Linked DNA regions of Canis lupus familiaris. The protein of the gene in region 3 interacts with the protein of the main gene of each other region in a biochemical or structural test. Links are inferred from orthologs where the notes say so. Each region holds a gene or a part of one and is shown on either strand. Other genes may lie near its edges. The genes, in order: CBX1, PCNA, TRIM28, CBX5, FBP1, IRF1 and SIRT1.

Region 1 (4,525 bases), on a different chromosome or scaffold from region 3:
CCAGAGATTAAGAATAACATGCTCTTCTGACTGAGCCACCTAGGCACTTCAGTACAATGGTTGCTTCTTTTCAGATATTTGGTTAGAAAATTATCAGTATCCCGCAGTCAAAAACGCAGAAGGCTAGGGTATCCTTACTTGGTCCCTTTCAATCACGAAGCTAGAAGCAACAGGCTACACGCACTATTTACATCTTTAATGAAAAAACTTAGGCTACAGCAGCCAAAGAAGAATAACAGCACCAAAGGGAAAACTGGAAATGAATGAAGATCCTGAACCCCCGCTAAAGCTTTATTAAGGTGTGACCAGTTCCAAGTTCCAACGGGTTTCCCACTCAATCATACCACTTACAATATAAATGCCTGTAAGCACCTAGGGAGGAACACAGGCACTAATTTCCCAATTGTATTCATGTTTCCATTCCAAACTTTGGACCTTTTCAGAGCTATTCCAAACTGCCAACACGATTCTTAATACAACTGAGGAGGCGATCTTAACCCTGGCCAGAGTTTTCCAGTATCACTGATCTTTTTGTAAACTCCACCTCAATGGAGTTAAACCAATTCAAGTCTGCATATAAGGCCATCCATGAAAAACCTTCATCTGAAGCTTTGAAGAAGTACTGCTCATTCCCGTATTCAAATTTTGTAACAACAAAGAAAGGCTAGCTTAAAAAGAAAGAAAGAAAGAAAGAAAGAAAGAAAGAAAGAAGACAAAGCAAAGCAAAGCAAAGCAAAGCAAAGCAAGAAAATCATAAGAGCCTAGGAAACAAATCTCACGATCTCACTAACTCTTCTTCTTTGTCTCCCCATTTCCCACATCATCTTACATATCTCTCACTAACTTAATTCCTTAAGTATGAACCCATCTACACGTTTCTACAATACCACTGTCTTTTGCGACCAGTGACGATCCCAGATAAAAACGTATGTAACTGTGAATCCAAGCAAGCGCTGCACTTGGGATTTTTTTTTTTTTTTTAACTCCCCGAAGGAATCAAAAGAGCTGAGGCAGTAGAAAACCTGGAAAGGGGGAAGAAATCTGGGTTTTTTGTCCTTTCTTCACACATTATTCTTACAGCCTCCCCACTGTGTGAGGACCCATCAGGAATCAAAGGCGGCCGGTTTTCCCCTTTCAACTCCTCACAGAAACACTCTCGGGGCCTCCGCCCTACTTACTCTCTCAGCTCCTCCCTCTCCAGATCCAACTCGGCACGTAACTGCCCCTTCCTCTCCTAGCCCCCTCTTCAGTTTATCCAACAGGTCTCCTCCCCGAGTAGCACACCTTGGACTGCCCAGCCCCCTCGAAGATGTCCTCGAAGTTACTTGTCCTTAGCCCGGCGAGCGGCAATTCCGCTGGCAGCCCCGGCCGGACCCCAAATTCTCAGGTGGCATTCGAAGCCAAGGGTCTCGCAGCCGTCAGCCCTCCCCTCGCCGTGTCCAAACATCAAGGCTGCCCAGCCTGTCCCCTCCTCGCTGTACTCAAGTGTCTTCCCCCAATCCGGCAGCCCACCCAACCTACGTAGCATTGTCTCGGTCCACCCAGGCCCCGAGGAGCGACCCGCCAGGGCTCGGCCCACCCCGAATCGTCTCGATCTCCTGCTCAGAGTACGCCGCCCGCCCCGCCCTCTCCATCCTTTTCGCGCCCGGCGCCCGACCCCCTGCAGCCGGCGGAGGGCCCCGTGCGGGAAGGGCGCGGGACCGGGTGCGCTCCCCGTTCCCACCCTCCGCTGCAAGCCCGCGCGGCCCCTCACCCAGGGCTCCCGCCGCTGCCGCCGCCGCCGCCGCCGCCGCCGCCGCGCGCCTCCCCCCCGCGTCCCCGCCTCTAGCGGGCTCTTCACCTCAGAGCAGCGCCCAAGAGCCCGAGAGGAATCGGTGCCGCGCTAATGGCGCGTCGCGTCGGGCCGGCCGGGGGAGTGGCGCCCAGAAAAGCAACAAGCCGGTGGCCGCAGTCGAGCCCCTCACTGAAGCGGCGTACCGCAGGCCCCAGCCAACGGCCCTCCCCTCAGCCGAACAAAAGAGCCTCGCACTCGGCGCTGCCCGCCGCCCGCACCGCGCAGGCGCGGCGACCCTCCGCACAGCCGTATGGGATTCGGAGTCCCTCCCAGACTACAAGACCCGAAGTGCTGCGCGCGTCCTACGCCACCACGCGGAGTTGGCGAGGGGTTCGGGGAGTTTTAGTTTTTAAACTGCAAGCGCTGGAACGAGTGTAGTTTAGAATGCTGCAGCCTAGAGCATTAGAGCGTCTGGTTTCGCAAGTGACCCCCATGATGCTTGGTCCGAAAAATCAACCGTTTCTGGGCAGTAATTCACATCCTCGAAAGTTTTTAATCTGAATAGGTGTCTCACCAGAGTTTTGTTGACTTTCCAATAATCTCTGTAATCCTCAATTTCTGCCTCAAATTTGTGTAAGGCTCCTACTTCCCCTTGGGAGTCTTGCTTGCCTGACGCTTAGACTAGGTTAGGTTCCCCTGGTCGTTGTCATCGTGGCATCTTACCTTTTTCGAACTTACCTTTTTCGTTGGCTGTGCCAAGTGGAGAGCTTTAGTGCAGAGCCCGCTCATCCCCACCAGCACTCCTCACCCAGCCACCTCCCAAAACATGGAAAGAGGTGAAAACCACCTCTTGTTATTCTTCGAGACAAATGGTTTAGTTCTGATTTCAACTATATCGCTGTCCTCAAACCTATTCATACTGGAAATTCCGTCTCATGTCATTCCTCCACTTTATTGTCTTTAGTTGGTGTGTGCTGTTCCCTAAACTCCATAAAGGCAGAAATCTTGCCTCGTGTTGTTTACCACTCTATACCCAGTGCCCAGTATAGTCCCTGGCATACAGTTGTCAAGCAATAATTGTTGAATAAATGATTAAATGCATTAATGAAATGTTCATCTCCTTACCTAACGGAAAGTGGAGGTTATTAGCATTTTCTTCACATCAGATTTGTGAGTGTTTCTCTTTCTCTCTCCTTTACTCTTCTTTTTTTTTCTATCTGACCAGGAACTAAATAGAACTACCAGAACATGACTTTTTTTCTTTCTTATTTGAATATTCAAATAGCCTCCTAATCAGAGGTAAAGAAGAAAGCCAACCCAGTCTACTGTATTCCACGTCAGAGTATTTACGTTAACAGTTTTGCTGAGTCAGGCACTGTGCAGGGCTCTGGAGAATTGTGGTATAAGAAACCCAACCAAATAAAAGAGCCGTGAGAGCACAGAGAAGAGGACAATTCTTCCTGAGACATTTGGGTTTAATGTCCATGGAGAGTAAAAGTCCATCTACTCACTCCTTCCTAAAGTCTCCTATTTTGTTTTTATAACTGTAACGATGAGAAAATTAGTTCTAATAATATTAACTATTCCTTTTTTTTTTATTTATTTACGATAGTCACAGAGAGAGAGAGAGAGAGAGGCAGAGACACAGGCAGAGGGAGAAGCAGGCTCCATGCACCGGGAGCCCGACGTGGGATTCGATCCCGGGTCTCCAGGATCGCGCCCTGGGCCAAAGGCAGGCGCCAAACCGCTGCGCCACCCAGGGATCCCAATATTAACTATTCCTATTAATGCTTACCTCAGCACTAGGAATCCTGTTAAGGCCTTGATTTAAAAATGTATATATTTATTGGGACCCGGCCTGGAGCCTGCTTCTCCCTCCGCCTATGTCTCTGCCTCTCTCTTTGTGTGTGTGTGTCCCTCATGAATAAATAAAAATAAAATCTTTAAAAATATATATTTATTTCAGAAAGAGAGAAAGATCACATGCACAAGCAGGGGGAGTGGCAGAGGAAGAAGGAGAAGCAGACAACTTACTGAGGAGGAAGCCCCGAGCCATCTCTGTCTCAGGACTCTAGGATCATGACTTGAGCAGAAGGCAGACGCCTAACCGACTGAGCCACCCAGGCGCCCCTGTTAAGGCCCTGATTAGTGTTTTTTAATCCTAAACAATGCTGGAAGTGGGAATTACTATTTCCATTTTACAGAAAAGACTCAGGTTGTGTAATGTGACCAATGACCTTCAGCAAGAAGGTGGTAGAACTGAAGTCTGATGTTATCTCTAACTTCCAAACCATAATTCTGCCCACATGAAATGCTACCATACCTAATTCCTCATAGTGAGCTGAATTCTGCTTTCCCATGTTGAATACCATTTCCTCCTAATTCTGGGTGTGTGGTTGCACACAGTTGTGTTCTATAAACCTAATTCCCCTTTCATATATCCTTCTAGTATTGAAATTCAGCCCTTATGTTCCCCCAAGGTCTTCTCTCAGCTAAATGTCACAATTATCTTAAACCTACGTCATAGGAACACAGTTTCAGGTCTAGCACATATAGTTTGTTAGTAAATTCTGGGCTCTTTTTAAAAAGATTTTATTTATTTATTCATGAGAGACATAGAAGCAGAGACACAGGCAGAAGGAGAAGGAGGCTCCAGGCAGGGAGCCCGATGCTGACCGATCCTGATCCCTGGACCCTGGGACCACACCCTGAGCCAAAGGCAGATAGATGTCCAACCACTGAGCCACCCAG
Region 2 (4,084 bases), on a different chromosome or scaffold from region 3:
CGGGATCGAATCCCATGTCGGGCTCCCTGCATGGAGCCTGCTTCTCCCTCTGCCTATGTCTCTGCCTCTCTCTCTCTCACTGTGTGCCTATCATAAATAAATAAATAAATACATAAATAAAATTAAAAAAAAGAACCTGTTTAAAAAAAAAAAAAGGGGGGGGGGTGGGGGAAAAAAGGTGGGGGGAGGGGACGCCTAGGTGGCTCAGCGGTTTAGCGCCGCCTTCAGCCCAGGGTGTGATCCTGGAGTCCCGGGATCGAGTCCCACGTCGGGCTCCCTGCATGGAGCCTGCTTCTCCCTCTGCCTGTGTCTCTGCCTCTCTCTGTCTCTGTGTGTCTCTCACGAATATCTTAAAAAAAAAAAAAAAAAAATTTACAAATGGGGACACCTGAGTGGCTCAGTGGTTGAACATCTGCCTTTGGCTCAGGGCCTGATCCCGGGGTCCTGGGATTGAGTCCTGCATCAGGCTCTGTGCAGGGAACCTGCTTCTCCCTCTACCTACGTCTCTGCCTCTCTGTATCTCTCATGAGTAAATAAAATATTTAAAATCTTATTTATTTGAGAGAGAAAACATATTGGGGAGGGGCAGAGGGAGAAGGAGAGGTAGAAGCAGACTCCTCCCGGAGCCAGGAGCCAACCTTGGATCTAGATCTCAGGACCCTGGGGTCATGACCTGAGCCAAAGGCAGAGGCTCCACTGACTGAACCACCCACGTGCCCCCTGTAACAAGTTTTTAATATGCAGATCAGAATTTTCACGCAAATAAGCTTAGATTTTTAAAACAAGATTGCTGATATCTGTATTTAGGAAAATATTGTAGATTGCAATCTTTCAGTGGTCAGCTTAGCAACATTTATCAACACATCACTTCTACGATAGCAAAAATAAAATGCACTTTTAAAACAGCTGTATTCCTCGGGCCGCCAGGCGTCTTCCTCCCGGTGGGCTGGATTTGCCTTTCACTTTCACGGCCAAAGCCTTTCTAGTCCTGAAGCGGGAGGTTGAGGAGGCAGCACAAGGCTGTAACTCAAAGAACCCCAACCTGGGTCTGGCCGTCACAAGCCCAGACTTGTTCAGCGCCCGGCGTCGCGAGCGGGGTGGAGAAGGCAGTCCCGCGGGAGGCGGAGGCGCCCCGCTCCTGCCCCGCCCCTGCCCCGCCCCTGCGGCCGACCCTTCAGTGGACGTTCAGGGAGGACGGGCTGGAGCGGAGGCCAAGGACACTATTGGCCCCGGAGTCCGTCCGCCAGGGAGTGGGCGGGGCAACGTGGTGACGCGCCACGCGCGGCGCAGAGGCGGAGCGCGCGCGCCAGCAGACGCGGCGCTATTAAACGGTTGCAGGCGGAGCGGGCGGGCGGTGATCGTCCCGGCTCCCCGGCCCTCGCCGCTGCGTTCGCCAGCTCGCTCGTACCCCGTGACGCCAAGCCGGCTACAACTTCCTCTTCGTCTCCGCCTGCAGCTGTGTCGTTGTGACTCTGCCACCATGTTCGAGGCGCGCCTGGTCCAGGGCTCCATCCTGAAGAAGGTGCTGGAGGCGCTTAAGGATCTCATCAACGAGGCCTGCTGGGACATCAGCTCGAGCGGCGTAAACCTGCAGAGCATGGACTCCTCCCACGTCTCCCTGGTGCAGCTCACTCTGCGCTCCGAGGGCTTCGACACGTACCGCTGCGACCGCAACTTGGCCATGGGTGTGAACCTCACCAGGTGAGCCCCTGGGGTCGCCAAGGGCCGGGCTCTCTCGCACCCCCACCTCCGGCTCTTGGCGGGAGCGCCTGCGAGCTAGGTCCTCATTGGCTGGCGTGGGCGACCCGCGCCTTCTCATTGGCCTGCGGCGCCCAGGGGCGGGATCTAGCGGAGCGCGCGGTTCCGAAAGCCCGCGCTGGCAGCCGCGCGAACCGGCGTTTTCCGCGCCAAAGTCACAAAGCGGGTGGTGGCGGGAAAATGACGGGCTTCTTCGTGGTGCCGGGAAAAGACTTACACAGCACCTTGGCCACTAAGTGCCGGCGGCCTTGGATGAGAACCCTTTGGCTTGACTGCCTTTAACCGCTTTATAATGTGCCCGAGTTACGTCACCCTACCTAGGGACCATCGGTTGATTCTGGTCCTTTATTATTAGGAAGTTGCAGTGAGCACCCTAAGTTCCTGGACTTAAAATTTCTCCAGGGCAGTGGCTTTCAACTCTTTGATCACTACATGTCTAGTACATGAACATGTTTAAAGATTTTATTTATTCGTGAGAGACGCAGGCAGAGGGAGAAGCAGGCTCCCTCAGGCTCCACATAGGGAGCTCTATGTGGGACTCCATCCCAGGACCCCGGGATCACGACGTGAGCCAAAGGCAGGCGCTCAACCACTGAGCCACCCCGCCTTCCAAAAACATGTTCAAATATGAGGCTTATGAGAAATAGTTGACCTCGACTGCATGCAGTGTGTATTAATAAGTATCTTAGCTCATTTTTCTTGACCGTCAGGACCCAATAATTTGCTTCGCGCACCAAAGGGATTTGCAATTTGCAATGCGTGAAATGCTGCTCTTTTATTTGTATCTAGAAGTGAAATTGCTCATGGTAGGCTGTGTGCCTGTTTAAGAATAAATACTGCCAAATTGGGTTACAAAATGGCCGGATTAGTTTACCTCACTCACCAATTCCTCAGACGACCTTGGTAAATAAAGATGGTAACTCCTTGTTTTAATTGGGTCAGAAATCTTAACGATTCTGAGAACGTTGTGGCAATTTTAAATCCTGTGTCTTCCGTGTTCTAGCATGTCCAAAATACTAAAATGTGCTGGCAATGAAGACATCATTACACTAAGGGCTGAAGATAATGCGGACACCTTGGCACTAGTATTTGAAGCTCCAAGTAGGTGATACTCTTCTACTAAATTATATTAGAGGAAATTTAAATGCAGTGTAAAAGATTTCTCTTAGTTGTGAAAAACTTAAGAAAATGTTCCTAATGATTGTAAAGCTTATTAATGGCATAGTTATAAACTTACATACTTTTCTTCAATCTGCTTTCTTTTGGTAGATCAAGAAAAAGTTTCAGACTATGAAATGAAGTTAATGGATTTAGATGTTGAACAACTTGGAATTCCAGTGAGTATTAAGAGTAGACTTTAAAGCAGTGTTAGGGGATCCCTGGGTGGCTCAGCGGTTTGGCACCTGCCTTCCGCCAGGGGCATAATCCTGGAGTCCCAGGATTGAGGCTCCCTGCATGGAGCTTGCTTCTCCCTCTTCTTGTGTCTCTGCCTCTCTCTCTGTCTCTGTGTCTTTCATGAATAAATAAATAAAATCTTAAAAATAAAAATAAAGCTGTGTTAGCAGAAATTCATTCAGGTGAGGTTTATCAACATAAGAAATGTTGAGATGTTTAAAATCCTTACTATCTTATCTTCTTGTTTTGTTTTGGTAAGCAGTTGGGCCTGCTTGCACACGCATCATCATTTGTAGGCCATACCCTAATGTCCTCTTGATTTAGCCCTGGAGGGGGATTTAGGGGGAGGCTCTTTTCTCCTGGATAGTGCATTTATCATTAAAGATTTAAACTTTAATTTTAGTTTTCTTAGTATGATTATTCTTATGACATATTGTTTTAAAAATTTTTTTTTAATTTTTATTTATTTATGATAGTCACAGAGAGAGAGAGAGAGAGAGAGAGAGAGAGGCAGAGACACAGGCAGAGGGAGAAGCAGGCTCCATGCACCGGGAGCCTGATGTGGGATTCGATCCCGGGTCTCCAGGATCGCGCCCTGGGCCAAAGGCAGGCGCCAAACTGCTGCGCCACCCAGGGATCCCCATACTTGTTTTATATCTGCATTTATTTTTTGAGTTAGAGATTATGTTATGGAAATACACAATGAGTGATATTTTAAAGTAATCAGAAAACCTTAAATTCTGAATTCTTGTCTAAATGCTGAGGCTTCAGAAAAATGAGAATGCCAAATTTAGTTTCCAGCAAGTGAACTCTAATTTTTCATTTTAACAGGAACAAGAATATAGCTGTGTGGTAAAGATGCCTTCTGGAGAATTTGCACGTATATGCCGAGATCTGAGTCACATCGGAGATGCTGTTGTAATTTCCTGCG
Region 3 (4,461 bases):
AGAAGACAGAACTTGAGGCCTTGCTTCCTGCCTGTCCTGCAACCCTGGGCTGTCTGCTGGGAAAACTCAAAGCCCTGCAACAGTGGCCAGGGTAAAGCACAGGCCTGTAAACCTAAATCTTTCCTCTCAAAATCTTCAGCCCAAACCTGACCCAGAAAAATCACTCCTCCTTCTAGCTACTGATATTGACAACAAAATCTGAAGACTTTGGCAGAGACCTTCCTCTTACTATTCCCTCTACTAGAACCTTCCCAAATGGATACTCAGGAGAGCTCTTCCATCTTGAAAAGCACCACTGGCTCCACTCCTCCACTCGCAGTAGGTTCTGTCCAGCAGAGGAAGGCACTCTGGCTACTGTGCCATCCAAGCATATAAAATGTTTGCTTGCTGGTGTAGACAAAAACAAATCAGAAACTAGAGACACTATTCAAGCACAGCTTCCTTAGAAGCCATACTTTGGTGATCTACCCTCTCGAGTAAAAAAAAAAAAATGCACAAACCACTTATATAACCCATAGACCTACAAAGGATCCAGGCCTTACAAAGCCTTCTCAGAAGAGGTGAAATGTCAGACCACAACCCTCACAAAGATGTCAGAACCCCTCTTCTGAGGGGAGAGTCCTGGTACTTTGAGTAATACCACCTAAAGACCAATATACTACCTCACCCCCAACCTGTCACCATCATTAAAAAGCTGCTTGAGACAATCTATCCCTCTTTCCTACCCAATCCCATTTACAACCTGGCTGTATCATCCCAGCCCAAAACACACGACTTTGAGATACAAATCAGCCAGACCATGGATCCTCTAATACTGCCGCCTCCTGTACTCTGCCCTTTGCCTTAAGCCAGGACCTCCTACAAATCCCTGCTCTTCGCTCCTGGCTCCTGATTCCTCGTGCCCCCACAACCACCATCTCCATTATTATTTTCCTGCCAATGCTCTGCTCTAGGACTGAGAAGCCACAATGTAACTACCAAAAGGCGACCCAGAGTGTTCTGGAACAAAAAAACAGGATAAACTCAGAAAGATCCCAAGCCCTTTTCTTTGCCACTACCAGCGTCTACAGGAGTCTCTTAATACCTACCTGAGTGAAACACTCTCTAAATACCTACCTGAGCTGAACATGTATAACCCAAAGTTCTAAGACTCTCCATAATGCTATTCAGGGCCTGTGCAACTTAAACACAGTGGCTCAGAGGTCTCATTTCCCCCTACAGAACCATAACAAGTTGCCAGGGAACCCCAGTCCAGCCCCTCCACTACTGGGGCTTATCCCCTGTGTGCTGCGGGGGGGAGGGGCCTGATGAGCTTGCCTGAATCCTCAGTGCACCCCCTCACACTTCTGTGGTCATTTCCCTCCCACTGGACCCACACACCTGAGCCCCATTTTTTAATTCTGCCCTCAGACCCTTCCAGAGGTACCCTGATAAAGCTCCCTGGGACCCATCCATCATCAGTAACCAGCACCATAAACAGTTGAGAACATATGCAAGATAACCAAGGCTTTCTGCTCTGCCTTGCATACCAGTGGAGCGTACGGTGTGGTCCTTGGTGTACTTCACCCGCTGGTGTGCTTCCACACACGTCTCACACAGTGGCTCAGAGCACTCCACACAGTAGCTGGTGGCAGGGGCATTATCCTCACAGCTAGTGCAGCACTAATGGGCAAAAGCAGAGTGAGAAGAGGCAAAAACGCCAAATAGATCCACGTCTACACCCCAGATAACACAACCTAAGCAAAGTGTTGCCTTCACCTAACCTATACAGTCTGCCGAAACACTGGTAGTATGAGAAGAATAAAGTCTGGAACTGATTACATGTATTGAGGCCTCCTAGGGGTTGCTAGGGCAGGACATACCTGATTTGCATCCTGGGAGTCTGTGGCAGCCTTGCTGCCACTGTCACGCATAAAGTAATTCTCCACAATGTCTTTGGAGAAGCATTGCTGTTTGCATACAGGACAGTCGACCACTGCCAAAAACAAACAAAATAATGAGATTATGAGCTCACAGCCAAGTCGTAACCCATCCCCCCAATGAGCCCAACCTTCATCCCAAAGAAGGCCAAATCCTCTCATTAGGAAGCAGAAACCAAACCCTTCTTTCATCGAACTTGCAGCATATGAGCTCACGCCCAGGACAGAACCCACTGCCCATACTCAACCTGACCAACTACTATCCGCGTCCCTATCCTCTCGCTCAGGCGATCCCCCGCCATCGTCACGCTGGGAACAGACCCCCCAATCCCGACGCCGAGTGGGTATCAAAGCCTGTGGGGTGGGGGGATGGGCTGCCCCGGCCCGACCGTACTCACCGGCGCCGTCACCCGCTGCACCGCCATCCCCCGAGCTGTTGGCGGCGGCGGGCGCCGGGGGCCCGAGGCAGGCACTGCAAGCCGAATGCAGGCAGGGCAGCAAGCGCGGCTCCCTCTCGGGGCGCAGGCGCTCCCGGCACACACCGCAGTGCTCCAGCAGCTCCAGCGCCTCGCCGCCGCCCCCCGCGGGCGACGACGCCGAGGCCGAAGCCGAGGCCGAGGCCGCGGCCGACGAGGCGGCGGCGCGCTTTTCGCCGCCAGCCGAGCCCTCGCCCGGGCCCGGGCTGCCCGAGGCGGCTGCCGCCGCCGCCGCGGAGGCCGCCGCCGCAGAGGCCGCCATTCACACGCCGCCGGGGGCGCCCAGGGGGGAGGAGGGGCGCGGGGCCCGCCGCGCAGGCGCAGACGCACTCGCCGCCAACGGCTGGGCCGCTGCCGCCGCGAGGCCGAGCGCCGCCACGCGCCTCCTGGGCTACTGCCCGCTGCGCGCGGGGCGCTGTCGAAGCCCGGCCGGCAGCCGCCCGCTAGCCTCCCGCCGACGACGACCGCGATCCCTCTTTAGAGGCCGCCCAGACACCGCGCCACACGCCACGCGAACAACCGCTCACCCGCGCGCCCGCTCGCAGAAAGAGCCGCGGCCGGGGGGCGGGACAGAAATAACTGGCGCCGACGCCGCCGCGCAAGCGCGCTGGGCGTCTTGCGCCCGGGGGCGGGGCCCGGGCTGGCCGCCCCGAGCAGGGATGCGAATACGCAAGCGCCGGAGCCGGGTCTTCCCACCTCCGCCTCCACCACCTCGGCGCCGCCTGTGCGGCAGGGGCGGAACTATTGATATCACCGCCGCAACATTGTGCCCGGGCGGGGCGCGCGCACCTTTGCATGCGCTTGCTCCCCCTCTAGTCCCAGCCCCTGACCGCGGTTCTGCGCAGGCGATTTGGCAGTCCAGGCCGCCACCTCAATCCCCGCCCCTTAGGCCAAGGCCAAAGAAGTCTCCAGTCTTGGCGTCTGCCAGTGCTGGGGAGAAAGGCTGCGTTCAGAGAGAGAGGCCGAGAGTCCCCTTCCCACTTCTAAGCCAAGTGGTTGACTTTTGGGTTTTAATCGCTTTATTGTTTAGCTTGCAAGCACTAAAACCTGCCTAAAGCAAACAGATTCCAAGGGGCTACAGAGCAGCGAGTCCTGTGAAATCCCGCCTGGCCCCCCAAGCGCCCCCTTCCCATCTTCTAGGCAACCGCTGCGCTGACTTGGATGCTTTTCCAGGTGGGCGAACCGAATGAACAGCAACAGTGGAGGAATTCTAAGGAAGGAAGCAGGGTCTGTGTAGGGAAAACCCTATCAGAGGGAGGAAGCAAGATCCTAAGAGAATGAGGCAGCATCTATGCGGGGGCCTGGGGGTGGAGGGGCAGAGGAGTTTCTGTCTGGGGGAGGAAGCAGAATGTCTGGGGATAATTCTGTCAGATGGGGAGAATGAGGCCTGTGAGGGGTGGAAGGAACCCTGTTTGAGAGAACCATGGCCTTTTTGTGGGAATCCTGTCTGAGGAGGAAGCAGTCTGTGGCAAGAATCCTGGGTGCTAGGCAGGGTCGGGGGGGTGTTGGGGGGTGCGGGAAGGAGAGAAGCTGGGTCTGAGCTGGGAAGCAGGGCCTACGGTGGAGGCCGAAAGATCCTGTTTGATCCTGTTTGAGATGGAGCAGTCTGGGAGGGGATCGTGTTTGAGGCAAGAAGAAAGCTGAAGGGATGGATGCCTCGGAGCTGGTCCTTGGAGTGGCCCTTGAGCCCTTTTGCAGGGTTCCTGGTGCTGAGATCTCTATGCTCAGAACAAGGCTAAAGGGGGCGGGGAGGGGGCGGCGGTCAGCTTTTGAGAGGATGCAGAGAGCATGCTGGCTGGCAAGTCTGGCCCCAGGACCCTACTCCGCGACTCTGGGTTCAAACATAAAACCGTGGGCAGAGCAAGGCGCCCACGCGTGGTGGCAGTGGAGGCGCGTCTGGCCCTACTGGGCGGGGTGTGGCCTTTGTTCCCGGAGGGAGTTGGGGGGCTGTGGGGCTTTGTCTCGGTGCCTGCCTTTGTTCCAGCCTGGCCGCAGCCCCCAAATCCGGCCCCCGCCCCGCCCCTTAGCTGAGCTATTACGAGCCTCTGCCCCCTACCCACCCACCG
Region 4 (4,336 bases), on a different chromosome or scaffold from region 3:
CCCCCCCCCCCGCCCGCCCACGAGGCCCTCCGGCTCCCCGGGGCCGCCACACGTGCATCTCCTCCCGGGAGCGCCTCCGCGGCTGGGACCACCCCTTCCGGCGCCGGCCGGCTCTCCGCCCCAGTCCCGTTAACCGCCGTCGGAGCGGCGGAAGCCACCTCGCTCCCGGGCCCTCCGTCTCCGGCACGTCTTACCACACAGTCCGTAAGCGTCCCCCATTGCTCAAAATGGCTCCTCAGACTCTCATCGGTCGTTTCGAAGCTCAAACCTCCGATGAAGAGTTTCCGCAGCTGCTCGGGCTCTTTGGGAGACTAGGAGCGGGGACACAGCTCGTTACGTGGCGCGCCCAACGCCCAGCCCCGTCCCGTTGGGAGGAAAATCCTAGACAGCAGCGTTACAAGGCACGTATTGTTCCCTCGGGTTACGGGAGGCCACGTGCTTCTCCCCTCGGGGGGGACCGAGCGGTGGGGGCTGGGAGGCCGCGGGCGCATGCGCCCCGACTCTCCCTCCGACGCACGCGCAACAAAAGGACTCGGCTGGACGGACGCCGAAGCGGCGGGGAACTACGGCTGCTCCGCAAGAAACTCGCTCCCGGAGACACGATCAAACAAAACCCGTCGAATGCGCCCGCGAGTTCTGCCGGGAGGGCGCAGCCCGGCGCCACAGCCAAGCGCTGCAGGACGGCGGCCTCATGGCGACGACGAGGACAAAATGGCGACCTCAACTTCGGGAGGGGAAGGCCCTGGCGGCCCCCGAAGGGCTGCCGAACGGGCTGGCGCGAGCGGCCACGCCAGGCCGCGTCCTACCGGCCCCAGGGAAGGAGTGAGGAAGGAAACTAGGCGGGAGACAGCGTGTTACTCACCTCTGACTTAGACATGACGGCGGTGGGAGGGGAGACTTTAACGATGCTTACTCGGCGGCGTCCAGGGGCAGAAAGGAGTAATCTAACGAACGTATCTGCCAGCCTACCTTCGGCCTCGCTTTTTTATCCCGCCTCCTCGCTTTAGGCATTGGTAGACTCCGCCCCTGAGCGTCTCTGATTGGATGTTTGCGATAGCCTCCCCCTGCTATTGGTCTATAGCCCCGCACTGCTGCGCAACGTCATCCGCTTGGGCGTTCTACGCAGGCTCCGCCCCTTCAGGTCTATTGGTTCCCGGGTAATATTATTCCTAATTACTGTGATTGGCTCGTCAACCAGTCATTCATATTTGAACGAACCTAAGGTATTTAAATGAATTTTCAATCCATTCCGCCCCGAAATTATGTTCCGCTCAGTTGGCGAAGCACGGTAAATGCTAATATATTACGAACGAGGTTATCAGGTGATTTTTTTTTCTTTTTTTTTTTTTTTGCAAACGACCGCCCGCCGGGCGCATGTGTAGTAAAATGGCGAGTTTACGCAGGCGCACTAACCAGTTCCGCTCGGCGCTTGGAGCACGTGAAATGGCGGGCGGGAGACGGCGGCGACTCTACGGCGCCTGCGTCGTGGCGGGAGTCGCGCCCCGCTCTGCGCAGGCGTAATGGGCGGAGAAAGGGTCCGGTCGCAGGATTGGCCGCGCAGGCGCAGGGAAGGATCCGTTTTGGCGGGCGGTTGGCGTTGCGCAGAAGGCGGCGGCGGCGGCGTCCCGTGGTCCGGCCTCGCCACAGAGGAACAGGGGAGGCGTTGGCGCGAGTGGCCGGTCTCGATTCCGGGTAAGCGGCGGATCGTCTCGCCTACTCATACGAGGTGTTGAACTGACTCCAATTGGGCCCGTTATTGTGTGAAATGAATGGAGCGCGGGGTGGGGGCTCGTAAAGGGGGAGCGCTGGGTTCAGCCAACCAATGGACGGCGGGGGCGGGATGTCTGCCGGCCGGGAGTGCCGTGGGGCTCCGCGGCCCGGAGTCTGACTGGCTTGCGCGCGGGCCAATCGGGTCCGCCTTTGCCGCCGACGGACGGGCCCTCGGGCCCTCGGGACGTGGGGGCGGGCCCTGCGCCCTGAGCAGCGTCCCGCCGAGCCAATGGGCGCCGAGCGCGCCGTAGGTTGGGCTCCTCGGAGGCGGCGGGCGGACTCCGAGGGGGAGGCCCCGCTGTGGAGCCGGCGGCGGGCGGCCTGCGGACGGCGCCCGGGCGGGTCGCCCAGTCAGCGGTGCGGAAGCGGGAGGCCTCGCTGCGGGCTGTGGAGGAGCGGGCGGGAGGGCGCGGGGGCGCGGGGGCGCGCGTTCTCTCCACAGTGGCCGCCGGCGCCCGGCGCTCGGGCCTTCACCCCACACGCGTTTCCGGTAGGGAGACCCTGACTCTGTGGCGTGTCGCTTCGGCTTCGGCATAACCGCTCCACGCGCTCGCGCACGCGCACGCGCACACGCACCCCGGGGCTTCTGGTCGCCCCGCGCGTGGAGGCTCCCAGGGGAGCTCGGCCGGTCGTCGGGAACCCGCTTGGCCGGCAGCGTCCGCGCGCATCGGAACAAGAGCCGCTGCCGTCGCGGACAGGCGCCGACCCACGTGTGCGCGGAACGCCGCGGCCTTCCCCGGACCGGTGGCGGATGCTCGTGAGCCCGCAGGAGAAGTGTGGGAAGGGCCGCCTCCCGCCGTGCGTCCGTGTCCAGGGCCCGGGTGGGATCCGGGCAGGTGGCGTCCCTCCCGCTCAAGTCCTTTCAGGGATCGCAGTTTGTGACTCGGTGAAGATGGGAAAGGCAGCCCTCGTGTTTCCAGGCACGATCCCCTGCTCCTCCCCTCCCCCTGTGTCATCCCTACACCACGAGAGAGTGCTGTCCTCCCCCCCCCCCCCCCGCCCCCCCGCGCGCCGGCGGAACTAACACGGTGATGCTCAGAATAAAAACACAATTTTAAAAACTTGACTTTCTTTTGTGTACTTAGTACCTGCCAGGGAGACGCTGTGCTAAGTAAGTAAACCCTTTACACGCATCATCTGTGTTTCCACGCCTTTACCTCAGTCTTTTTTTTTTTTTTTTTTACCTCAGTCTCTTCTGTGAACTTTTGTATCTTTCTTTACACCATTAAAAGGTTTCTTTCCTTTTTTTTTTTTTTTCTTTTTTAAAGATTTTATTTATTCTTGAAACACACAGAGGCAGAGACACAGGCAGAGGGAGAAGCAGACCTCCCACAGGGATCCGGATGCGGGACTGGATCCCAGGACCCCGGGGTCCCGCCCTGAGCCCAAGGCAGACGCTCCACCACTGAGCCACCCAGGCGTCCCATCCATTAAAAAGTTTCCGAGACTCTTTCTGCTATTCCTCTAAGGATGTCTGAATTTTGACAAATTGCTTAACATGGATGATATTTAGGGTGTTAGGGGTAGGAGGACTCCTCCATCACCTGGATTATTCCATTGCCTTCATTGTATTTTCTTCAAAGTGTTTATTTTACAGGCACTGTAATCACCTGTTGGTAACACCCATTCAGCTGATTTGAAGATGTTTTAGTAAAAATAAAGACGTTTTCGTTACATAATGGTTATATCAGAATCTAAATTGCCCTCTTGATCAATGGCATAAGGTTATTAGAAAGATGTTTAGATGCTGTAATACGTTTAACTGTGTATGAAGGACACTTCTGATTATAGACCTTTGTGACATTATACAAAGGAAAGTTAATTTTAGTTGTCCATATAATGAAGACTGGAGAGATTTGTGTTTTCTGACACTTGCAAGAGGACAACTTGATTTCGTATTTCCTTATAAACTGTAGGTGTGCTAATCAGCTGCTTCTGCTGAGTTTATAAGAACTAAAGGGATCTAAATTACAGTTCTCCCTAATTTATTTAGGTTCAAAAGAAATAGTCTTGACTTACGGGATTTCTTACAGCACTATTGACATTTTAAGCTAATAAATGCATTTCACCTCCTCCCTCACACCCATTTGTGACTATCAAAATGTCACCACACATTGCCAGATGTCCTGGGGATGTCAGTGGTAGTGATGGTGGCGGTGGTGGTGCAAAATCTTCCTCGGTTGAAAACTGTTGATTTAGGGGTGCCTGGCAGGCTGGGTCTGAGGAATGTGACTCTTGGTCTCAGGGTGGTGACTTCAAGCTCCACGTTGGGAGTGCAGCTAAAGAATTCACTATTAATAAAAAAATTTAAAAAGCAACGTTGATTTAAGTTGACATGCTGGAGGTACCTGGCTGGCTCAGCAGAGGAGCATGCAACTCTTGATGCTCTCGAGTCATGTTTGAGCCCTACATTGGGTGAAGAGATTACTTAAATTTACAAAAATAAATAAAATGACAGATGCTAGAGTTGATAATCTTGTCAAAGTATTTTATTTTAATAATTGGAAATTAGTGGGAGAAGGTGAATGAAGTGTTTAGGAAGTAGCCTTTGATAAATGGATCGCTA
Region 5 (4,466 bases), about 27 Mb from region 3:
TAACAGAGCCGAGACAGGTCTGTGACATGTCTGCAGTGTTTCCTCTGTGTCAGTCCCCTTGGAACTGAGTGCTCTGCCAACATCATTTCATGGCATGCTCATGACTCCCATCTAGAACAGTCATCCCACTTTACAGACAAACTGGAAGTAGACAGATTGGGTAAAGGGCCAGAGAGGCCAGAGCTGGGAATGCAGCAGGCCTGTCTAACCCCAGTCCTGAGCTCTTCAGTGCTTACAGGGCTGCTTTCCAAAGGTTTACACTTCAGGGGGACTGGATTGAACTAGCTGACTTTCAGGGTCCTAGCTAATCTGGGATCCCCAGGGGCTAAATGTCTGACACAGAAAGGGACAAACTCAGCTGCTGCTGCTGTCATTACATTTCAGATATCATGTTTAAGGAAACATTACGCTTACCAGCCTTTTTTTTTCAGTGAGGGTTTCCTTCACTACTCTAGTTTTTAACACTGCACCCCAACATTCCCTGTCCCCATTTCCTATTTCATTTTTCTCTACTGCTCACATGGCTCATCTAACATACCAATCTATTGTTGGTTTATTATTTATTTTTCTCTGTTAAAATGTAAGGTCAAAGAAGGAGTTTTGTCTGTATTGCTCAGGCTCTGTCCCCAGGGCAGCAAAAGACAGTGCCTGGTGCATAGTAGGTGTTCAATAAATGTTGTTCATGAATCAGTGTTGTCTTAAGACAACAGTGTTCTGGCTACATAGAGATCAGAATGTGGTCTGCAGAGTGTCTGGTCTCAGTGTGGCCTTCAGGGGACATTTCCCTGTGTCTGTGACTGTTTTTTTCTGCCAAACGCAGATACTTGAAAACTATGGTTTCCAATAGTTCTGGAAAGAGAGGAATCCTGAAAAGAAGAGGCCTGAAGTGAAGGATCCAGCCACGGGCCTTCAGACCCGTGAGGGACAGGGAATCCGCTTCTCCCAGGTTGGTGAGAAGAGCCCTGCGGCAGGCCGAGCAGGTTTGGGGAGGGCGGGGAGCAGGGGGCAGGTGGAGGCTTGAGGGGGGTGCGGGGGCGGCGGCGGTAGAAGCCCACGCGGAGACCCCGGCGCCCGCCAGCCCCCCCTCCCCCCACCCCGCGCCCCGCCGGCGCTGCCCTCACCCGCAGGACTTCCGTCTTGCAGCCTGGAGGGAGGGAGGGAGGGGTCAGGGCTGCCCCTGGGCGCCGGCTGGGGTGGGGACTGAAGGAGGTCCTGCAGGTGGCCCTGGGTGCCACTCCGCAAGGCCGAGGCCGGAGGCAGCCGCCGCCCAGACGCGGGGGCGGAGGGGGCGGAGGACGGGCCCCTGTGGGGCGCGGCGGCCCGAGGACCACACCGGGGCACCGGCGGGTCACCGCGGGGTCGGCGTGGGCGGAGCCGCGCTCGGAGCGGGAGGAGGCCCGGGGGCGGTGGTTTCCGGGGGCGGGGGCGGCGACCCGCGCCTATAGGCTCCCCGGGCCCCGACCGCGGGATCCTGGCCCGGCCGGGGTAGGCTCCGAACCGCGCCGACACTCCGGGCCGAGCCGAGCCGAGCCGAGCCGCGTCCTCCGCCGCGTCCCGCCGCGCGCACCTGCCGCCCGCACCTGCCGCCCGCACCTGCCGCGCTCACCTGCCGCCCAGCGCGCCTCAGGCCGGCCTCAGCATGACCGACCAGGCGGCCTTCGACACGGATATCGTCACCCTGACCCGCTTCGTCATGGAGGAGGGCAGGAAGGCCCGCGGCACCGGAGAGATGACCCAGCTGCTCAACTCGCTCTGCACCGCCGTCAAAGCCATTTCCACGGCCGTGCGCAAGGCGGGCATTGCGCACCTGTGAGTCGGGCCTCCCAGCTATCGGGCCGCGCCCTGTCTGTCTGTCCTGTTGGGGGTCTGCTCGGCAGTCCCATGTGCGGGGCCCTGGGCCTCCTGCTGTCAGCCTGCCTGCATGTCTGGCAGGTGGGAGTCCGTCTCTCTCGCTCTTTTTCTCTTTCTCTTTCTCGGGCAGCCCCTCTCGCAAAGCTTGTTGGACTGCAACCAAGCCCTGGTCACCCCTCCCTTCGGCGGGACCTGGCTCACGGTTCACACCTGCCTCTATCCTGCAGCAGTCTCCCCTGGACTGAGCAGTCTGCCTGTGCACCCGCTCTCAGGCTCCTCCTGCTGAAACTGGCTGGCCAGGCTGAGCACCTGCCCAGCCCACCATACCCAACCCAGCTTCATACAGGAAAGTGCCTGCACGATGCTTCCTTTCCCTTTCTCTCCTTTGATCTTCTTCCCTCCCTTTGGAATTGGGGACCCAAGTCAGGTTTTTAATTTGGTATCTCCTTTTTTTTTTTTTAAGATTTTATTTATTTATTAATGAGAGACAGAGAGAGAGAGAGAGGCAGAGACACAGGCAGAGGGAGAAGCAGGCTCCATGCAGGGAGCCTGATGTGGGACGCTATCCTGGGTCTCCAGGATCACGCCCTGTGCTGAAGGTGGTGCTAAACCGCTGAGCCACCTGGGCTGCCTAATTTGGTGTCTCCTTTACCCTCAGTAAGTCACATTAGGAGTGAAGGAAGCCCCAGGCAGGCTGGGAGGAAGCATACATGTCCAGACCTCTCAGGAGCAGCTGTGCTTGTTGCAAAGGGCTGTAGTAGGTCTGGGGCCGGGCCTGAGATTCAGATTCTGCATTTCGAAGAAGTTCTGTGGCAGGTGGTGCAGATGCTGAGAGTCTGCAGATCACATTGTGTGTAACAAAGAAATCATGGGACTTGGGGATTCGTTGGGCACCTACTTATGAGGCCTTTTGTAAGTAACACAAATACCCTTTGGTTTATTCTGGTGTGCACATTTTTTTTTAAGATTTTATTATTTATTCATGAGAGACAGAGAGAGAGGCAGAGACACAGGCAGAGGGATAAGCAGTCTCCATGCAGGGAGCCCGATGTGGGACTTGATCCTGGGTCTCTAGGATCATGTCCTGGACTGAAGGACATGGCCCATAGGTAAATAGCAAACAAATGGCATCATCATTCAACAATATAGAATGAATATCCTTCACTGTCAGTATGTATAAATCCACCTCTTTCTTTGTAAATGTTGTGTAGTGTTCCAGGAGTAATTTAACTCTTTCTCTAGGTTTGGCCATTTCACAGGTCTTTGTTTCAAATAGTGTCATACCTATGGAACAGGAGTTGGTGCCTGGTTGACAGGGCATGGCCAGGAATCTGGACACTCCTGTACTCGTATGGGAAAATAAGAATTTGGCTATGTCATTATGACATATAGTCAGTCGGGCAGGCAGCAATAAGACAGGGTCTCAAGCCAGGCCTCCAAATCACACTCATTATTTGCTTTGATATCTTGGATAAAAAGGCCAGTGTGCCTGCAAATAACTTTTTCAGCTGAAGGCTTGCCCTAGAAGGGCACGTACCCAGAGGTACGTCAACAAGATGATGACAGATTTGCAAGAACCTCACAGGTCTGAGTTTATGGAGCTCAGACATGGTGTTTCATCAGGGACACATCAGGAGTTTAAGAGTTGAGCCTGGAGTATCCTCTCTCTCTCTCTCTCTCTCTCTCTCTCTCTCTCTCGACCAACAGTTGCTCTTGTCGCCAGTTTCATTGTGGTTAATAAGACATTTATAGAATGGTAGAATTTGGCTGTCCAACCCTTCTTTGTACAGCTGAGGGCCTTGAGGGCAGGGGAGAGGAGGTGAGTGGGCTTGTTGCCTGGGCTGGGACTCTTTATGCCATGTGTCTCTGATTTTATTTTTCAAGCCAGTTAAAGCTCAACCAACTCTAAATCTCACCTATTTATTTTATTATTTTTTAAACATTTTATTTATTTATTCATGAGAGACACACAAAGAGAGAGGCAGAGACACAGGCAGAGGGAGAAGCAGGCTCCATGCAGGGAGCCCGACATGCCCGACCATGTGGGACTGGATCCCAGGACTCCAGGATCATGCCCTGGGCCGAAGGGAGGTACTCAACTACTGAGCCACCCAGGCATCCCTCACCTATTTATTTTTGATGCAAATTAAGAATTGTACCTCAAGAAGCCATTGCCTTCTAGAAAACTTGTTCTTGAAGCCTTATTTCTGTGCTCTGGCTCTCCCCTACTCACTCCCCAGAGAGAAAGGATGCTAATCTATACAAGGGGCAACCAGCATTTTGTTCTCCCAGGAGAAGAGTCAGCAGACCATAAGTGGATCTCCAGTGGCTTAGGCTTTTGCTTTAGGCATGTAGAATTGACTTGCCTTTGTACATGCTTCCAAATCACTGCTTGAAGAATTCACTGGTTCTATTTAATTCAACAAAATGTACTGAACACCCACAATGTACAAAATTCTAGAAGAGATTGGGAGATGAGAACAACACAGAGCTTATGCTGTTAGACAAATGTGGAATTAGTTATAAAACACAATAGAGGGGATCCCTGGGTGGCTCAGCGGTTTAGTGCCTGCCTTTGGCCCAGGGCGTGATCCTGGAGTCCCGGGATCGAGTCC
Region 6 (2,633 bases), on a different chromosome or scaffold from region 3:
GTACAGAGGGAGAGGACATTTTCATCACTGCAAAAACCGGACAAGGAATGCCCACCACAACAGGCCTCAGGAACCTGTTTTGGGCTGGTGTCTGTTGTAACTGTCCATGACCATGCAGTACTAATTGTTAACTTTTTGAAGTAGCATCTGAATACCCTTGGATTTGAGTTTAGCAGGACATATAGTTTATGGGACACATTACTCAGAACTGAAAAACCTAACACTGTCCAGACCTTGGAGCCCCAGTTCAACTCACAGCCTGGCTATAAATCTAAGGGCAAGTGATTATATTTATATGAGCATGTCCCTGTACTGTGATTGTCCCTTTTTCCTGTCATCTTCTCTATGAACATAACTGGAAGGCTTCTGCAATAGATGCATGTCACTGCTCACCCCCCAGTCAAGTTCAGGCAGGATGCCAAGAATGACTCCATCAAAATAAAATGTCTCTGTAAGAAAAAAAACCACTTGCAGTTTATCTCTAAATAAAAGGCCACACCCTTTATAAACAATTAACTTTTTATAAAAAGATAAATGTACATATTTACACACATGTACATATGTGGTCACACATGACTTAGTGGTTAGATGGCGTTTCCAATTTTAAAAATCACACCAAGACGCTCCCACTTCCCTCCCAGGGCCTGCTGAGGGCTGCCAGGGCCTGCCTGAGGGGGCAGGTGGGCGCAGGGCAAGGCACAACATAAATAAATGTAAAGGCTGAGAGCTTGGGGGAGACGTTAGTGTACACCTCTGATCAGAAAAGTGGCAAGGTCCACAAGAAAAAGTGCCATGTTCTTTCCCAAGCCCCTGAGCCCAAGCAGGGCGGAGCTCCTCTACAGCTGAGGGAGCACTGTCCTGCAGGGCCCCGTTTCCTTCACATTTCACTGGCTTTGGAACAGTCCCTAGGGCTCAGCTGGGAAGGGGGGGAGGGTCTCTGGGAACAGGATTCCCTTAGTGCAATTGTCTCTTAGTGCAGAGCCAGCCCTGGGGTTGGTGCTGTGCTTCTCTGAGGTCACTGGTCTGTTCCCTTGGGCCACCTCAGCAACAGCGAGACCCTTTCAAGGCAGTCGGGCTGAGGGGGAAAGCTGGAGGCTGACTCCTCTCTGAGAGTTCCATCTGACACATCAATCTCATAATCCCATCTTCCCAGGAGGCAGGGCCAGCTTTACCCCACAAGATGAGCCCAGACCCTGGCCTAACAGAACCTAAAGGGTCACTGTCCTAAGGAGGGAGGTTCCATCCCTGCTCAGCAATGGAGTCATTCTCTGCCATGTCAAGGAGCCCACAGGAATCCTGTTTCTTTGCATCATGGCAACCATGATGCCAGGTCCTGCTCAACACCTAGGGGAGTCAAAGGGGCCAGGGCCCAGCTATGGTGCACAAGGAATGGCCTGGATGGAGGGCAGTCTGACTGGAGTCAACAGGCTGTCCAGCCAGCTGGTGTCCATGTTCTTCAGATCTGAAGAGATCAGCCCAACATACCCTAGAAGATGTGAAGAAGGTTGTATGAGGATGGAGGGTAAAGACAGGTGTGTTCCCCTCCTGCCCCTCAGCCCTATCCCTGTAGGCCACAGACACAGCCGCCTCTACTGTCCCCACATGGCAGTAAGCACCCTGCCTCCATCTTCAGGCAGACCTGAGTACGTGGGAGCAGCAGCCAGTTTGTAAGCTGTCTGTACCAAGAAGAGTTGAAGAAAGATGCTTTGCCTCTCCTGCTCCCTAGCCCAGTCCCCCAGCCCTTTCCTACCCACCCCCTGCCAGTTTCTCGCTTCTCGGAGAAACCTTCCAGCTACAGGGACTTCTTACCCCCAGGGCTGTCAACTTCTGGTTCGTCCTTGCAGCTGAAGTCTCCATAGAGAGAGGGGGGCTGAGTCCCAGGTTCATTTAGCAGGTACCCCTTGCCATCCACGTTTGTCGGCTGCCACCCCGTCTGCTCCAAGAGCTGGTGACAGAGGAATAAGGAACCATCAGGTTACTTCCAGGGCAGATTCATCCTCTGGTCTTGCCCTCAGTGAGCCAAACCTTCCCTACCAGCATCGTACCCTTGGTCATTTGCATGTTCTCAGATGGATGCAAATGTGGACTGTGGTTAGGACAGGGGCCTGCGAATTGTGGATCTGCCCTGGACTCATGCTCCTACATCTCCCCTCTGGCACAGAATCTCCTAAGACTTTCCCCCTCAGCTGAGTGAGGACATACCAACCAGGAATGTGGCATAAAGTAACAGCATCACAAGTCAAGAAAAGAAAAGAAAAGCTAGAGATAGGGAGCTATGCCTACGTCTCAAGTTTTCTATGCTGATGAAACACAGCCTGGGTACAACTACTGCAACAACTGTTTTATATTCGCTTTTAAGATTGAAGCAGGACAAAAAAAAAAAAAAAAAAAAAAAAAAACAACACACCCCTGGAGAATAATTTGCTTTAAGGAAAAAAAGAAAAGAAACAAAGAAAAGGAAAAAATCCCTCATCAGATCCCAGATCCCAAAAGCTGATTATTAAAACCTGATGTGCACTTCCCTAACTAACAGGGCAGCAGGCCTGGGGCCTGTTGGGGCAGAGGACGCAGGCCAGGGACCAGGCACTGGTGCTGGCTGACTCAGAGTGGTTCCAGGCCCTAGGGCTGCCTCC
Region 7 (4,298 bases), on a different chromosome or scaffold from region 3:
ATCGAGTCCCATGTCAGGCTCCCTGAATGAAGCCTGCTTCTCCTTCTGCCTGTGTCTCTGCCTCTCTCTCTCCTGTGTATTTTCACGAATAAAGAAATAAAATCTTAAAAAAAAAGTGATTAAGTATTAAGGAAAAGAAAAAAAACAGACTTGAATTGAGAGAGTGCAAGATACGCTGGAGAAAAAGCACTCCACACAGAGAGGTACAAGTGAAAAGAACTGGTGGTGTGAGAAGGACCTGATTGAGAAATACCAGAGGCCAGCTTCCAGGGGCTTAAACTGTTTAAAACCAAAAAGAACAAAGTACTAGACCTTCCGTAGAAACACAAGCTGACACTAAATCTCAAGAAGCACCTAAAAACCTCATCAAGTTATAAGGGTACAGAAAACTATTTTTAATTGACATAAAAAAATACAAAAAAGAAAAAGACATTATTCTCTAAAGCTCTGAAACCGTACCTATCCGGGGCCTTGGAGTCCAGTCACTAGAGCTTGCATGTGAGGCTCTATCATCCTCATCACTTTCACAGGAATGAAAACCGTTGGTGATTATTTCATCATCAAACAGAAGGTTATCTGCAAAAGAAACCAAAGTAACTAAAGGCTGATGAAACAATCTGCCTCTAAAATGTATACAGATCTGGGTACCCCGGGTGGCTCAGCGGTTTAGCGCCACCTTCAGCCCAGGGCGTGATCCTGGAGACCCGGGATCGAGTCCCACACGTCGGGCTCCCTGCAAGGAGCCGGCTTCTCCCTCTGCCTGTGTCTCTGCCTCTCTCTCTCATGAATAAATAAGATCTTTAAAAATAAAATAAAATAAAATAAAATGTATACAAATCTGTAACAGTTATGATGCAATGACTTTCACTGAATAAACCACTGAACATTCATTCATAGTACCTAGGTTAAAAACTTCCTACTGGGTCAGCTTGCACCATTCTAAGAGCCATATATGCACATCTTTACACATTCTGCACCGAATCTTAAAACTTTCAGCTCATGAAAATCTAGGAATAAGTTAGGTTTACTTAATCAAAACACAGAGTGGTAATCTAAACTGAACTTATTGATCACAAGTAATGGGAATTCATGAAACTGGTCAAAAATGTAACAGAAATCATTCAAATTCATGACAATTATTTGCCCTTCTCTTACATAATACTAGACTTCCAAAGATATATTTGCATTATTCGTTTCCCATATTAAACTGTTTACAGAAATCAATAAGTGATTTACTAATCAAGAACTTAATGCACTTCTATGATCAAATGCTCCAGATTGAATTTACTGGTAAAGACGAACATTCACGACAGAAACTCCTCAGACTGAAAAATATGAAAACTCTCAAAGATGATATGACATACACAACTAACACATCTGCTTTAACATAACAACAACAACAAAAATGAGTTTGTGTTTCAGGGTTATCAGATACGCACATACACGCAAAATTATATCTAATCTAAAAAACATTCTAAGTATATATAATTAGGAAAAAAAAGTACTATTGGGGCGCCTGGATGGCTCAGTTGGTGGAGAGTCCACCTTTGGCTCAGGTCGTGATCCCGGGGTCCTGGGATCCCCTATGCTCCCCGCAGAGAACCTGCTCAGGTCGTGATCCCGGGGTCCTGGGATCCCATCATGCTCCCCGCAGAGAACCTGCTTTTCCCTCTATGTCTCTGCCTCTCTCTCTCTCATGAATAAATACAATCTTATGTTTTAAAAAAAGAAAAGAAAAAAGCCTACTTTACTAGTCTTAAAGTACTATCAGTCTCCCAATACGCATTCATTGCAACATTTCAGAAATTTAGCGATGCTTCTCAAATTTTGTGGGTTATGACTTTAGAAATAGCTTTGCTCCTTAAAATTTAAAAATAAAGGCCCTCAAAAAAAAAAAAAAAAGCCGTGAATTGCACAGGTGTATCAGTTTGCAAAGACAACTGCAAAAGGTTGATGAAAAGGGACGGGCAAAAGTTGCAGACTTACGTGTGCAAGGAAGCGGGGATACGGAAAAGCGAAAGATGTTAAACAAAGGCAATAAGCTAAGAGAGTAGGAGGAGAGAGAAACTTACTTTAAAACCAACTGCGGGAGCTTCGCGGCCCGGCGGCTGCGCAAAGCGCAAAGCCGCGCAGGCGGGCGGCGGAGGGAGGGAAAAAGGGAGCGGAGGGAGGGGGTGCGCGGGCCGCTCCCGCAGCCCCGCCGGCAGCCGGGGAGGAGCGCAGCCGAGGCCCGCGGTGGGAAGGGGGCGCCGCAGGCCAGACCTGAGCCCCCAGCCCGCCCCCCGGAGCCCCCAAAGCCCTACACCGCAAGGGGCCCCAGAGAGGGAGGAGGGGATGCGCAGTCCCAGCCGCCCGCGCCCTGCGCACCTCGGTACCCAATCGCCGCCGCCGCCGCCGCCTCTTCCTCCTCTTCGCCCTCGTCGTCGTCGTCGTCGTCGTCGAAGTCGTCGGCCGGCGGCGGCTCGCGGGAGAGGCCCTGTAGGCCCGGCCCATTGTCTCCTTCTCCGGCCGCCGCCGCCGCCGCCTGGGCCTCCCGCTCCCCGCCCGCCGCCGCCTCCCGCCACAGCGCCGCGGCCGCCGCGGAGCAGCCCCCGGTCGCCGCCGGCACCTCCCGCTCAGGGGCCGCCCCGCCGGGCTCGCCTGGGCTCCGCCCCAGGCCAGGACAGTCTCTCCGCGGCCTCTTGCGGAGTGGCTCCCCGGCGGGCGGCGACGCGGCCTCCCTCTCGGCCGCCACCGCCGAGGGGGAGCCGCCGGGCTGAAGGGCGAGCGCCGCCTCGTCCGCCATCTTCCAACTGCCTCTCTGGCCCTCCTCCCTCGCCTCCTCTGCTCCCGCTCGACTCGCGGCACTGGCGCCCCCGCGGCTCCGGCTGCGGGAGATTTAAACCCCGTCACGTGACCCGGCCCCGTCGCCCCCGCCCTCCCGCCCTCCCGCCGCTCCCGCCACCCACGCGGGCCGGACCACAACACGGCGGGTCACGTGGCGGGCGGAGGCGGCGTGGGCTGGGAGGAAGCGCGGCCCCACCCACCCTCTGCGGCAGGCGCGTCCGGCCGCCGCGCTCGCCCGGCTCCCGGCCGCTCTTCGAAACCGGCCTCGCGTCGCTGTCGCCCGGCCGGCCCAAGTTTTTGGTTCCCCCTGCGAGTTTCCGCTGAAGTCTGAAGCGCACGGCTCGCTTGCTTTAGTCTTTTCCAGGTTTAAGGTAAAGGGTTAAAACTTAGTTCCTGAGAAACGATGAGGAATGAAGCTGGCCCAGGCCGAGCTTCGCACGCTGGATAGTCGTGTCCACCAGCCTAAGTGGAGGATAAAAGACTTCACTCCTCATCCTCACACCAATGTGACAGCTCCTCTTGGCTCCTCTTCCTACTTCTTGCTCCTGTCTCTAGCTGACTGCCCCCCCCCCAGCCCCATCACTTGTAGGGTGGTGTGAATTGTCATCCTTAAAGGCATGTGTTCCCCCTGAAAACCCCTGACCTGGGGCGCCGGGGATCAGCCTGTTTGTTTTCTGGCACCACCTGGGCTGCAAAGGTGTCTTGAATTCCTTCTGAACGCATCGGGTCAAGTGGGCCATTCGCAAAGAGCAGAATGAACATGATGACTTGGCGGGTCTACGCTTGGGACTTTGCGTTGGAATTTGAGATTCTCACCTACTAGCATGAGCAATTTAGCCTTTCTATAGGCAATGTTCTCATCTTTAAAATGGTAACATTTGTAGGGTTGTAAGACCTATACTGATAAGCTAGAAGATAGATGTAAAGTGAGGAGTAGCTCAAAAATACCAGTCCCTGAATGAATGAATGAATGAATGAATGAATGAAGTTCCTTGCATACTAGAAGCCCTTCTACTTTCCACTTTCCTGAAATTCCAGAGCACTGTCACTCTACATCTAGTCTTAACTAAAGACTCCAATAATACATGGCAGATCTAGAGCCAATGTTTGGTAGGGCATCTACCACCTGTGCAGTGTGGCATTAGAACTATCTAAAGGAAAAAAAGGCAGGAAGAGTGGGGCGATGAGAGGTGGATGAAAAAATCAGCTACATCTTCAGTGGGATATTTACTCTTACTTGGTGCTAAATCAGATGCAACGAGTCCTGGTACAACCTGTTATGAACTGCCTTTGAACACCGGCCTGTTATCCCAGGCACTCAAAATATAAATGCCAGCAAGTGGTTCTTCGTGTATTTTTGTGGGAAAAAACTTTTCTTTTGATTTTTAAAAATTCAATGTTGATCTTTCAGAATGGACCAAGGCTTTTTTTAAAAAGGATTGCAGGACACATTTAATTCTTTACAAAACTTT

What was found.
Region 1: the proteins of TRIM28 (region 3) and CBX1 form a complex in vitro, tested with the Homo sapiens proteins (3 studies listed by BioGRID). The link is inferred for Canis lupus familiaris from reciprocal best matches to the Homo sapiens genes TRIM28 and CBX1.
Region 2: the proteins of TRIM28 (region 3) and PCNA form a complex in vitro, tested with the Homo sapiens proteins (2 studies listed by BioGRID, with this or other methods). The link is inferred for Canis lupus familiaris from reciprocal best matches to the Homo sapiens genes TRIM28 and PCNA.
Region 4: the proteins of TRIM28 (region 3) and CBX5 form a complex in vitro, tested with the Homo sapiens proteins (6 studies listed by BioGRID, with this or other methods). The link is inferred for Canis lupus familiaris from reciprocal best matches to the Homo sapiens genes TRIM28 and CBX5.
Region 5: the proteins of TRIM28 (region 3) and FBP1 form a complex in vitro, tested with the Homo sapiens proteins (2 studies listed by BioGRID). The link is inferred for Canis lupus familiaris from reciprocal best matches to the Homo sapiens genes TRIM28 and FBP1.
Region 6: the proteins of TRIM28 (region 3) and IRF1 form a complex in vitro, tested with the Homo sapiens proteins (2 studies listed by BioGRID). The link is inferred for Canis lupus familiaris from reciprocal best matches to the Homo sapiens genes TRIM28 and IRF1.
Region 7: of the proteins of TRIM28 (region 3) and SIRT1, one has a biochemical effect on the other in vitro, tested with the Homo sapiens proteins (2 studies listed by BioGRID). The link is inferred for Canis lupus familiaris from reciprocal best matches to the Homo sapiens genes TRIM28 and SIRT1.

What each region holds. Positions count from the first base shown.
Region 1 is NC_049230.1:24,332,767-24,337,291, forward strand, and holds the start of CBX1 (chromobox protein homolog 1), read right to left. Parts: upstream 3,005-4,525; 5' UTR 2,900-3,004; intron 2,069-2,899; exon of another isoform or gene 1,841-2,068; intron 1,828-1,840; exon of another isoform or gene 1,754-1,827; intron 1-1,753. UniProt on the Homo sapiens protein: Component of heterochromatin. Recognizes and binds histone H3 tails methylated at 'Lys-9', leading to epigenetic repression. Interaction with lamin B receptor (LBR) can contribute to the association of the heterochromatin with the inner nuclear membrane.
Region 2 is NC_049245.1:16,928,612-16,932,695, forward strand, and holds the start of PCNA (proliferating cell nuclear antigen), read left to right. Parts: upstream 1-1,284; 5' UTR 1,285-1,480; coding exon 1,481-1,701; intron 1,702-2,761; coding exon 2,762-2,859; intron 2,860-3,027; coding exon 3,028-3,095; intron 3,096-3,984; coding exon 3,985-4,084. UniProt on the Homo sapiens protein: Auxiliary protein of DNA polymerase delta and epsilon, is involved in the control of eukaryotic DNA replication by increasing the polymerase's processibility during elongation of the leading strand.
Region 3 is NC_049222.1:100,138,215-100,142,675, forward strand, and holds the start of TRIM28 (transcription intermediary factor 1-beta), read right to left. Parts: upstream 2,944-4,461; 5' UTR 2,658-2,943; coding exon 2,318-2,657; intron 1,976-2,317; coding exon 1,863-1,975; intron 1,663-1,862; coding exon 1,530-1,662; intron 1-1,529. UniProt on the Homo sapiens protein: Nuclear corepressor for KRAB domain-containing zinc finger proteins (KRAB-ZFPs).
Region 4 is NC_049248.1:45,635,940-45,640,275, reverse strand, and holds the start of CBX5 (chromobox protein homolog 5), read left to right. Parts: upstream 1-1,532; 5' UTR 1,533-1,692; intron 1,693-4,336. Other genes in the region: HNRNPA1 (heterogeneous nuclear ribonucleoprotein A1), read right to left, coding at 195-311, 863-877. UniProt on the Homo sapiens protein: Component of heterochromatin that recognizes and binds histone H3 tails methylated at 'Lys-9' (H3K9me), leading to epigenetic repression. In contrast, it is excluded from chromatin when 'Tyr-41' of histone H3 is phosphorylated (H3Y41ph).
Region 5 is NC_049222.1:72,684,898-72,689,363, forward strand, and holds the start of FBP1 (fructose-1,6-bisphosphatase 1), read left to right. Parts: upstream 1-1,400; 5' UTR 1,401-1,639; coding exon 1,640-1,809; intron 1,810-1,906; exon of another isoform or gene 1,907-1,921; coding exon of another isoform or gene 1,922-1,932; intron 1,933-4,466. UniProt on the Homo sapiens protein: Catalyzes the hydrolysis of fructose 1,6-bisphosphate to fructose 6-phosphate in the presence of divalent cations, acting as a rate-limiting enzyme in gluconeogenesis. Plays a role in regulating glucose sensing and insulin secretion of pancreatic beta-cells.
Region 6 is NC_049232.1:20,767,741-20,770,373, forward strand, and holds the end of IRF1 (interferon regulatory factor 1), read right to left. Parts: intron 1,946-2,633; coding exon 1,810-1,945; intron 1,487-1,809; coding exon 1,374-1,486; 3' UTR 502-1,373; downstream 1-501. UniProt on the Homo sapiens protein: Transcriptional regulator which displays a remarkable functional diversity in the regulation of cellular responses.
Region 7 is NC_049225.1:19,900,444-19,904,741, reverse strand, and holds the start of SIRT1 (NAD-dependent protein deacetylase sirtuin-1), read right to left. Parts: upstream 2,804-4,298; 5' UTR 2,786-2,803; coding exon 2,368-2,785; intron 2,092-2,367; exon of another isoform or gene 2,073-2,091; intron 577-2,072; coding exon 460-576; intron 1-459. UniProt on the Homo sapiens protein: NAD-dependent protein deacetylase that links transcriptional regulation directly to intracellular energetics and participates in the coordination of several separated cellular functions such as cell cycle, response to DNA damage, metabolism, apoptosis and autophagy.